Arabidopsis thaliana: one gene and its partners. The protein of the gene in region 3 interacts with the protein of the main gene of each other region in a pairwise test. Each region holds a gene or a part of one and is shown on either strand. Other genes may lie near its edges.

What was found.
Region 1: the proteins of AT5G37550 (region 3) and OBE1 interact in a two-hybrid assay, tested with the Arabidopsis thaliana proteins (one large-scale study listed by BioGRID).
Region 2: the proteins of AT5G37550 (region 3) and ATB BETA interact in a two-hybrid assay, tested with the Arabidopsis thaliana proteins (one large-scale study listed by BioGRID).

Annotation. Positions count from the first base shown.
Region 1 is NC_003074.8:2,482,318-2,486,074, reverse strand, and holds the start of OBE1 (potyvirus VPg interacting protein (DUF1423)), read right to left. Parts: upstream 1,622-3,757; 5' UTR 1,090-1,621; coding exon 1,067-1,089; intron 982-1,066; coding exon 1-981. Other genes in the region: Hsp89.1 (HEAT SHOCK PROTEIN 89.1), read right to left, coding at 2,105-2,281, 2,384-2,473, 2,571-2,676, 2,764-2,938, 3,029-3,131, 3,236-3,490, 3,618-3,695. UniProt on the Arabidopsis thaliana protein: Probable transcription factor that acts together with OBE2 for the maintenance and/or establishment of both the shoot and root meristems, probably by controlling the expression of the meristem genes such as WUS, PLT1 and PLT2 and of genes required for auxin responses.
Region 2 is NC_003070.9:6,096,446-6,100,202, forward strand, and holds the start of ATB BETA (Protein phosphatase 2A, regulatory subunit PR55), read right to left. Parts: upstream 1,995-3,757; 5' UTR 1,621-1,994; coding exon 1,515-1,620; intron 685-1,514; coding exon 581-684; intron 499-580; coding exon 403-498; intron 316-402; coding exon 196-315; intron 1-195. Other genes in the region: VPS46.1 (vacuolar protein sorting 46.1), read left to right, coding at 2,765-3,089, 3,422-3,708. UniProt on the Arabidopsis thaliana protein: The B regulatory subunit may modulate substrate selectivity and catalytic activity, and may also direct the localization of the catalytic enzyme to a particular subcellular compartment.
Region 3 is NC_003076.8:14,918,400-14,921,954, forward strand, and holds AT5G37550 (uncharacterized protein), read right to left. Parts: upstream 1,627-3,555; 5' UTR 1,394-1,626; coding exon 701-1,393; 3' UTR 502-700; downstream 1-501.

The DNA of each region.
Region 1 (3,757 bases), on a different chromosome or scaffold from region 3:
CGGAAAATCCTACTAACGAAGTCAAGTTCCTTCATTAAAGATTCCCTATCCCAGTTTGGTGCACAGTGCTGAAACACATCTTTCACCCACCCCAGCAATTCAGAAGTATGGTTGCACGCTCGACACTTGAACAGCATTTCTCCCATCCCAGATACGCTCTTGGGAGAAACTCCCATCGAAATCTCCCCATCCCTAATAGCACAATCCGTATGAGTCCAATGAGAACACACGTCGCAGCCAATCCAGCGGCATGTGTTGACTGCAAAGTCAAACTTGTTACATATCACACACATGCACAGGTTGCAGAAGCCTTTCCTATTAGCGCATATCTCACAGGGACAACCATCAGCCGGGAGTTCGTTTTGGCAAGCTATGTTTCTGCATCTCTTGTACACAAAGATCTCGATGAGTGATGACTGAGAGAGATTGATGTTTGGGTGCAAGAATGCTTGGATACCAGTGTTTATAACCACAAGAACTTCAAGCTGCACTCGGTGAGCCCTGACAAGTGTCTTTGAAGTTAAATCAGATCTCGTCTGGACAAACTTCTGCAGAAACATAAACTCATCTATAGGCTGCGCACCATTTCCTTCAAGGATAGCCTTAAGACCATTCTTTAACTCCTCGAGATATTCTTCTGGTAATCGATGCATTCTCTCAGCGACTATGTCAAGTCTCTCTCTAGCTATGTCCCGTAGCGATACCTTATCAGCAATGGAAACATGGCGGATCACATGTTGATCATGAGAGTCAGGCCCTGTCTTTCCGCTATCTGTCTTCCTTCCCATAATAGATTTTGAGGTTGGCCAAGTTTCTTGAGAGCTAGCACTTTCAGCTGGTGATTCACGCACAATGCCAGAATTAGACCGTGACAAGTGGGGATCTGAAGATACAAGCGAAAGAGATGTTTGTAGTTGCTGACGTGGAGGTAGCATCTGGTGAGGAAGATTGGACCCAGATGATGTGCCCATCAATTTAGTGCTGCAGACACCAAGATAATGTCAATGTCAGATTCACCCCAAGGAACACATAAATCCCTAAAATACTTTACGACCAAATCACATACTAATTCAGGAAAGCCCAAAACATTTTGCAAAATCCCTAGAAATCCACCGACAGATAAAAACTACATCTCCTATGTTCAAATTGAGCTGAGATGATTAATCACTAGTGGAAGCTCAAAAAATACAAACACATGACAGAGTAAACACAAAACAAGCGCTAGAAAAAAACAAGTTGCTCGAATCTGTTTGCCCCGTAGATTATACGCTATAAAAGTCAAACACGAATCTTCATAAAATCAGAAAATCTTGCAAGTACCAAAATACATAGTCATAAACTGAATCAACCCTCAAAACAACGCATCCAACTCGATCACGAGAGTTATTGACTCTTTTTGTCACCGAATTTTCAGGACCAGCCTCGAACTCAACAACCAAAACAGATACGTTTTGCTGTATTCGCCTCAGACATAAAGAAAGCACCAAACAGACGAGAAAGGGAAAAAGACCGCCGGAAAATTAAGGACTCACCGGAGAGACGACGGGAGAGGACGAACGAGGAACCGTGACTCCGTGAGAAACCCAAAGGAAAGATAAATTAAACACTTTTTTGCCTGTTAAGACAGAACTATAAAAAAGACATACAGCTGCCAGTTCATTAATCTCTAACGGTTAACCTGACCAGCCGGTAACCTTCGACTTTTGTTGACTTTTTTAAACGCGTTCAACGTTTGAGTCGAATCTGTCCAAACAAAGTTTTAAACCAACCCAATTCGTACGATAACAACATCCCTCTATTTAATTAAAAATTACCATATGTCCCAAAATTTTAGTTTTGTTAGATAAAACTCGAAAAATCTTTCCAAAAACACCCCAACTGAATTTTTCTTAACGGTTATTAAAATTATACCGAGGAGGATCAACACAAACTGGAACAAAAACAAGCTCAATCAATTATTAATCTCTCCAACATAAATAGAGATTATCATTCGCTCATTGCCTATTGTTCTGAGTTTTGGGGTTCTACTTTTACTGCTACTACTAATAAAAGAAGAAGAATATGATGAGAATCGTAGCAGGGACATAAAACATTAGGCTTGTGTTCATTTCTTCCCATCCACTTCGACTGGTTCAACCACTTCAGCTTCAAACGTCTCTGCATCGTGAGAATGTGCCATCTGCTGTTGCTGCGGCTGCACCTCAGGGCTTGACCATTTCCCGGAAAGAGCTACATCCATCATCTCATATATCTTCCCACCCAGCTCTGCTGGATTATCGGGCTGTAGTTTTGAGAAACAACAATTAAGTTTTACCAGTATTTACTTTATTTCAATTCTAGAGACAACAAAAAGTTAAGAATGTTAATGTAGAATAGGACTCACCGTGAACCCACTAGAAACTAGTGCTGCGTCATACATAAGATCTATGGCTCTCATTGCATCTTCGTCATTTGGGTTACTATTGTAAGCAGCCTGCAGGGTGCAAGAAAAAAACAAGCCAAGCTCAAAAAGCGGCTCCTAGATTTAATTATAATAGCCAGGTACAAGTTATGATGAATGGTGACTTCACATTTATGTTCTTGATAATTGAGTGGTCGGGATTGATCTCAAACACTCTTCTCCCTTTCATGTAGTCGAGGCTTATTGTGTCACCAGTTGATTGTGCCTTCATTAGCCTGTCCAGATAACATATTCTGTGTTAGTTCACCAGGGGCAAAAAAGGAGAACGGAAATCCTTGCTTAAGAAAAAGGTCAGATCTTACCTCTCCATATTGGCTGACCAACCAAATTTACCAGATACAAGAACACAGGGGGAAGAACTAAGACGGTTGGAAATTTGAACACTGGCAACCTTGTCACCCAATCGTTTCTTTATCCAGTCACAAGTCTGTCCAAACTCTTTTTTCACTGCTGCCTCTTTCTCCTCGTTCTTGTCTCCTGTCAATACAAAGATCAAAGCCAGAATTTGTTATTATACATAAGTGATTACCTGACATGCTAAATCAAGGAATTACATCAGGCACTTGCCTAGATCCAAGTCTTCCTTGCTGATATCTACAAAATCCTTCTCCTTATAAGCTTTTAAACTCTGTACGGCAACTTCATCAATAGGCTCTACCAAATATAGTACCTACGTTCACAATACAAAGAAATACATGTCAATCACCTCTGAGTTAATAGGAATATTTGCAAGGAAGAACAAAACGAGGCCCCATTCAGAAGAACAACACATACTTCAAGTCCTTTCTCCAGCATCTTTTCGAGGAAAGGTGCATTCTTAGCACTTGTAATGCTGTCAGAAGCAATGAAGTATATGGCTTTCTGTTCAGGTTTCATGTTCTCAACATACTCATCCAAGCTGATCATGTCATTCTCACTCTGGGAGGAGAAAAATCGAAGCAGTGGAGCTATACGCTTGTGGTTTTCACGGTCTTCGATGCACCCTAATTTCAAGTGTTTGCCAAAATTATCCCAAAACTTCTCATAGTCCTGTATAGGTTAACAATGCCATTCTCATTCGTCAGGAAAATCATCACCAGAACGTAGCAGTGATTTCTAAAGGGAATTAAAAAAGGTTAAACTGTAAGCTTAGGGGAACAAGAGTTATGAAACATACTTCTCTGTTTTCACTCAAGGATATACCCAAAATCATATCAAAAGCCTTCCTCACTAGACGTTTCTTCATGATCCGCACCTTGGAGACACAATACAAAATCGTAAGCTTAACATAGCATTGCACTTAAAACAAAACATATA
Region 2 (3,757 bases), on a different chromosome or scaffold from region 3:
TTTCTCTTATTTTGAATTGAGTCTTGGAAGCAAAAGAAACCAGTTTCTAGACAGTTTTCACACGTGACACCTAATATTTCTACACTATAAAGCATATGAAACAAGATTATGGAACCGAGTTACACAGAAAGGAATTGCTATAAGTGGCCTATATTTTGCAGACATGTGATATAAAAATCCATCCAGATGTCACACCTTCCAATATTTGATGGTTTTATCGTTTGTAGAAAGCAGAAACAATGCACCATTAGCTGGCTGACACCATCTGATTTTGTTGATTTTCTCCTCTATCTCCAAACTCTTGAGATAGTCAAACTGAAACAGATTGAAAAGCAAGCTTATTGAGTAGCTCAAGGAACACAATTACTCGTAAGTGAAATCTGGTGATAAGTTTTAATGTACCTCTGGTTCATGACTCTGAAATTCTGTTTTATATCGAAACTCAGGATGCCTAACTGGGTAATCCGTCTGCTCAAGATCCTTCCTGGACCCTCCATGCTGAAAGTAACATTTTGCAAGAGTGCGTTACAGCACATAACATTTTTTCGAAACAAATCTTGCAGAAGAAAAAGGAACTCACATCTTTAGTATCTGTCCTTTCAAAAAGAACTACTCGGCCCCCACGGTCACCAGTTGCGAGATGGTCTCCACTTTTATCAAATTCGATGGCTGAAATGATGTCAACTGCGGAAGAAATGTGTGCAAACAGAATCATTACATCAGAAGTCACCACTAAATTGTAGGAGCTAAACACATAATAACCTTGAGGTGCAGCTAGTATATTATTCTCCATAACATAGAGTATGTAAACCGGTAAAGAAGATTACATCCAATAACATGAGAGCAGATTAAATTTATCTAATACGGAAAGTGCCTCTGAAGGCAACCTAGTTACATCAATACTCCGGGAAGTCTTATCAGCCAGAAGAGAGCAGCTATAGACCAACTCAATATTACAAATTCAATTCATGAACCCAAAATGCATGACCAATGATAACCCTTCACACTTGTCCCTCGACAACCCAATCCCTCATCGCTTCATATGCCTTTCTTGCTGTTAAACAGAGTCGAGACACCATTGTACCAGTGGAAAAAAGTATACATGGCTTATGGCATTGAACAGACAAAACCTTGAAGCTAGATTACCCTCTTAATCTCAACTTAAAACTATCATCAGCGTATCAAATGATTCAAATTTACAGCAGTACAGCTGAAACTTGTACAAAAATGAGAGTTACAACCTCGCAACAATCAGCTAAATAGAGATGCTCTAATATCACATAATACACAACAATCCAAACTTGTCATAGAACTTAGAAACTCTACTAACAGTGCAATAAAAGCCACAGAGATTCATCAATGACCCACTAAGTAGTAGAGGAATAACTCACTAATCAGATCCAAACAACAAATCAAACCCTTAGTCCTCAAATACACTCCGGATCTAAAAGAAAAAAGAAGAGCTAAACTCCGAATATATCTCACAATTTATAACACACGTAGGCAATAATTACCTTCCTGAACTTCTTCTCCGGCGGTTCGCTCACCGAAGACCTGAGAGAATCTCCACTCTAAAGACGGAGGAGGACCACTAGTAGCGGCATCGTCACCACCGTTCATTTTTTTTTTTTGGCTTTTGGGTTAGATAATCCAACAAAAATTAGAAATCCGAGCTTGAGATCTGAGCTTCCAAATCTTTTAATCACCGAATCGAATCGAAGATCGCGTCATCACCATAACCAAATCCTTTGATTCACATTCCATTCCATAGTTTTATTCATGGATTTTTTCGCGATTGAAGCAACTTGATCGATGATTAATATTTCGTCCCTCTCTCTCTCTCTCTCTCTCTCTCTCTCTCTGTAGAAAATGGAATTTTTGATATATCTCTCTGTAGAAAATGGAGGAACGAGAGAAGAAAAACGCCTTGGCCTTTTTCTCTCTCTAAAAGGACAAAAGTGGAATTATAACTTTTTTCTTTTTTTTTTCCTTCGAGACCAAAACGAAGGAACAAATCCGTATAAGTTAATATGTCTAATACTATAATGTTTTTGTCCTGATTCCAAAGTATCCTTAGCGTTACAGTCGGTGACATTATTTATTTGACCACTACATATCGGTGGACAGTGACATATGTTTTCGCCTATCATTGGTCAGTTGTGGAGGTGCTGCGCTTTCCACTGTTGTGTTGTGTGATGGGGGAAAATGTATAATTATCATTAGTAAGTACTAAATAATTATTTTTGCCAAATTATCCTAAATAGAATTCCATTGCACATTTGTTTTTTCTAATCTGATATTATCATATCTTACTTGAGAAAAATTACAAGTTTCTTTCAGGGGTCAAAATTAACTCATGAGAATACCCAAGCGGTAGAAAAAAAGAAAAACGATTGAAACCAGTACAAATCAAATGAATTTAAAAAGTATTACTATAGTTTATACCAAATGTATTTGGATGGTGAATAATCAAAACTGAAACGAATAAGTCAAAGGAGTGTTTTTTTTTTATAACTACTAACCACTCAGACTCAGTGACGGATTAAAAGATTAAAACTTAAACCGGATATAACCGAATAATAGAACCAGTCAGTGCAATTCGATTTAGGACATAATGTTAGGAAGCCTCCTCGTTTAAAAGTTAAAACCTCTCTTTCTGCGGAAGAAACACGCTTGAGATATCTTTCCCCAAATTCGAAAGAACCCTAATTTTTTCCGATTCCGATTGATCAAACAAGCGAATCCCGATTAACTGATCGAGGAGATGGGTAATACAGATAAGCTGATGAACCAGATCTTTGAATTGAAATTTACGTCAAAGTCTCTGCAGAGGCAAGCTAGGAAGTGCGAAAAAGAGGAGAGATCGGAGAAGCTCAAGGTAAAGAAAGCCATTGAGAAAGGTAACATGGATGGTGCTCGGATCTATGCCGAGAACGCCATTCGCAAACGCAGCGAGCAGATGAACTACCTTCGTCTCTCTTCTCGATTGGACGCTGTTGTTGCTCGACTCGATACCCAGGCTAAGATGGCTACCATCACCAAATCGATGACCAACATTGTCAAATCCCTCGAATCGTCTCTTACCACTGGTATTTCACATTCTCACTTTTCAGCAATCTAATCAATTTGGTTTTGTTGGTGCTCATAGCATTATAGTATAGATTGAAAAATTCTGCTCCTTGTTGTTGTTTTTGCTGATTGAAGGATATGGAATCATGCATTAGGGTTTGGTTTGATGAAATATTAGAATAGCTCTCTCTCACCGTCATGGATGTTCTGTGATCTGTGATGAATTTTTGTTGCATTTCTCTCCTTTTGGTAAGTGTAGTATAGAGGGAGAAGAAGATAGGGCTTATAATACTCTTATACGTTGTGCTGTAGCAACTCGTGTTATCATTTTCTGGTTTGTTCTTTGCAACAGGCAACTTACAGAAGATGTCTGAGACGATGGATTCGTTTGAGAAACAGTTTGTGAACATGGAAGTCCAAGCTGAGTTCATGGATAATGCAATGGCTGGCTCTACTTCATTGTCGACTCCAGAAGGAGAAGTCAACAGCTTGATGCAGCAAGTAGCAGATGATTACGGTCTTGAAGTTTCTGTTGGACTACCTCAGCCTGCTGGTCATGCCATTCCTACCAAGACTGAAGAGAAAGTTGAGGAGGATGATTTAACCAGGAGACTTGCCGAGCTTAAAGCCAGAGGTTAATTAGCTAACCTAACAAAAAAAAAAACTGTATTTGGATTCTTCTTTTATT
Region 3 (3,555 bases):
TCTTTTATTGATTAGAGTCATAAAATATATACACTACGAATTATTCATTTCCTCTCTTTTATTTATTAGAGTCATAAAATATATACACTACGAATATGAATCTTCCTACTTTTTGTACTAATTCAATTATTTATACTTGAAAAATAGTCATCCAATGCAAATCTTGTTCGCCTAATGTTCCCCTAGTTTCTACTTTATACTAACATCTATGAACGACACCAATATAAAAAAACTGGGCCTTACTCCAACTAATGGCCCATTGGGTTTACGAATCTTTATTTTGGTTACTTGTGTAGGTGACTCCATTCTTTGGTTACTCAGCTCTTATCTTCTTCAAATCGGTTCTTTGTAGAGTTAAGCATATGATGAGATTCCAACAAAATGACTATAAATATATGTGGATCACAATTCACAAATCAAAATAAATTTTGATCAAAGCTTCCGTAGAAACACTAAGTCAAGAGAAACGAATGACCATGAATGAAATTTAAAAAAAAAGAAGAGATAATATTGTGGAAAATTATATAGGTATGGGCACAATATTCTCTAGAATGACCTAAAAAGTTAAATTAATATACACAAACTTGTTAAAACCCTTTAATTAATATTGTGGAAAAGAAGTCCTTTTAGCATTAATAATGTCTAAACACATATTTTAGCTCCTTAATAACTAGAGAGTAGATACTATAGAGACATAGAGTTAGCGTCGGCCGGTACGCATATTGACACTCGTCGGTGCAACCTTCTTTGTTCTTGGACCAACCCGATGATATGCCCCAAGATCCACGTCATCACTTCTTCCACAAACCGTCCTTGGAGCCATCATAATCATTCCTTTCCACAAATTTCTAATGCTCATTTTTTTCACCAACCCATTCTCTTGCTTACTATCATATTCAAGCTTCTTCTGCAACATATTATGATCATAATGTTGACCATGATCATTCCAGAAACCAATAGTTGGTAACGAACCCTCATCAATCCTCTTAGAGATGCTCTTGATCTCATAAGAATCAAGAAGACTAGACAACTTGGTTTCTTGATCTCCACGCAAAAAATGATTAGAGTGTGGTTTAGAAACCTTATTCTCGGAGAGGATCATGGTCTTGTTGGCCTCGAGCTTATACCGCGAAGGTCGAGGTGTTCTTATGGCTCTTTTCGAGAGATCGAACTCTCTCATCATCGGCTTTCCTTCGTGTCTTTGGTACCAAGCCCACGCCGCAGCTTTCACTGTCGCCAGCTCATCATCTCCTCCTCCTCCTCTTCCTCCTCCTCCTCCGGCAAAGAGCGTCGGTGACCATCTCTTCTTTCTACTATTGTTACGGCTTCTGGTGATGCTCTTCTTCTCGGACATAATTGGTGTTGAAATGTAGTAGTTGGCGAATGGAAGCATCGTTCATTGATTATAATGTTTTTTGGGTTTGTGGAATTTGGAGTGGACACGTTAATAGAGGGAAATGCTTAGAAAGAAAAAAAGAAAGAATCATAAATATATAAATACGCGTGTTGCCAAAATAAAAATTAATAAATACGCGTATGTGAAAATGATTTGATAAAATGAGAAAAAGAGTATTATTATTAGTAGTTGTTGTTGCTCTTGCTTTTGGGTCCATTGGTGGATACAACAATTATTCCGTAGGAAAAGTGTTGTATTTTTGTAGTTGGACGCACAATCTACATTTCTTATATATTCTTTTTGTACCTTAGTTTATTTTTTCAATATTTTTCTTTCAATGAAATAATATGTACGTAGAATGTTGTGTTGAGGAGGATTCAACTCATTGGAACAAAAAATTGGTGAAACCGCTTCTCATTATATCGATATATCATATATGGATTGTTCTATGACTTGGTCTTATTTTAATTCTGATGAAAAAATTGGGATGATGCATTGGAACAAAAGCATAGTTGTGGGAACATGCGAGGCTGTTGGAAAAAGAAAGAGAATGTTGGTGTATGAATCGATTAAACACTATAAAGGAAAGGTGATATGAATTATTGATATCAATATTTTATAAACACTATAATCAAAATAACATTAACCTAACATGATCAATATTGGATGAAGTAACTTTACTTCTATTCTCCTAACAACAACCTAATTCAACCCTCACAAATTGATGTACCATAAACAATATCATGTGATACTCCATTTTTAAACAGTATCAGACTTTTAGGAATAAATCTACTAAATTGTCACCCAAATTAGTTTTCTATATTGAAATTAAACCATTTGAGATAATGGTTGTTATCTTATGTGAAGAGTCTGAATACATCAAATAGTTTTAGTATATTACTTCTATGTTAGAATAAAGTGTTTGGAGTTGTATTAAAAAAACAAAAAAAACTCGTAGAGAGTCTCTTTCCGTTATAGACCAAAAGCATCATTATAGTAAATGCCCACAGTTAGCCTATTTAGGTTCTTGGAACGAATCCACCACTTCAAATTGCTGAATTTCAAAAGGTATTTTTTTGCAAGCGTTTACTACAGTTCCATGTTGTTAAAAAAATCACATAAACAACAGATAAAATAATTCTTTTGTATCAAACCCCACATATTAAGGTTATTCTCCATCAATATCATGATGTTAATCCAAACTAAAAAAGGCAAAATACGAACATAAGTTTTATCAATGCGAAATATTTATGAATTCAAATACATTTGTCATATTACTTGAGTTTTTGGTGATGAACCAGATGCATGAACTAATAATTATTTTATTATGAAATTAATTATGTTTTTGAATATTATGTAGTACTTTGTTTATTTATTATTAATTGTATTTAATTTTTTTAATCATTTTGTTAATAAGATAATTTTTTGTCTTTTTATAAATTTTATAATTATAAATTATATTTATCTGAGTCATTTTTTTTATTTATTCGATGTCCCATCCGCTCGCTAACAAGTCATAAACTCTTGCAAATATAATAATTTTCAACAAGTAAACCAGTTGTTCAAACTGTTTAATAACACGTTTAAAGTAGTCTGGCTTACATGTGTTGCTCAATAGTCTTTTTTCACCCAATCAGATTTTTTGAATTTTTAAAAATTTTAAAGGTCGTAAAAATCTAACTGCTTTATTTTTTGTTTTTGTTTTTTTCTTGTTATATTCTTAAAATCATTAAGAGAAAACTTTGGAATTGAATGGCAAAAACTTTATATTAGAGGTTTAGATTAAAAATTATTGTAGAGAGTTTAAGTTTACATCAATGGGTCTGACTTAAAAATTTAAAGGCTTATTTTGTTGGATAAAAAAGAAATGATTACATGAACAACAAAAAAAGAAAAGTTAGATTGTTCGAATTTTACTACTTTAGAAATCAAAAATATCATTAGAGCAATATTTAGTAAAAAATCTAGTCAAACATATACATTTATGATCCGTCACAATTTACACGCAAATGACCTTTTAGATTAACCTTTCTTTTAAAAGACGACTATTGTAGTTAATGAGATTTTATTTTACAATTTCTCAATTCTCCTCTCGTCCTCTATATATAGACTCGATCTTTCTCGATAAAATTTGGATATTAAACAATCATGGAAAATCA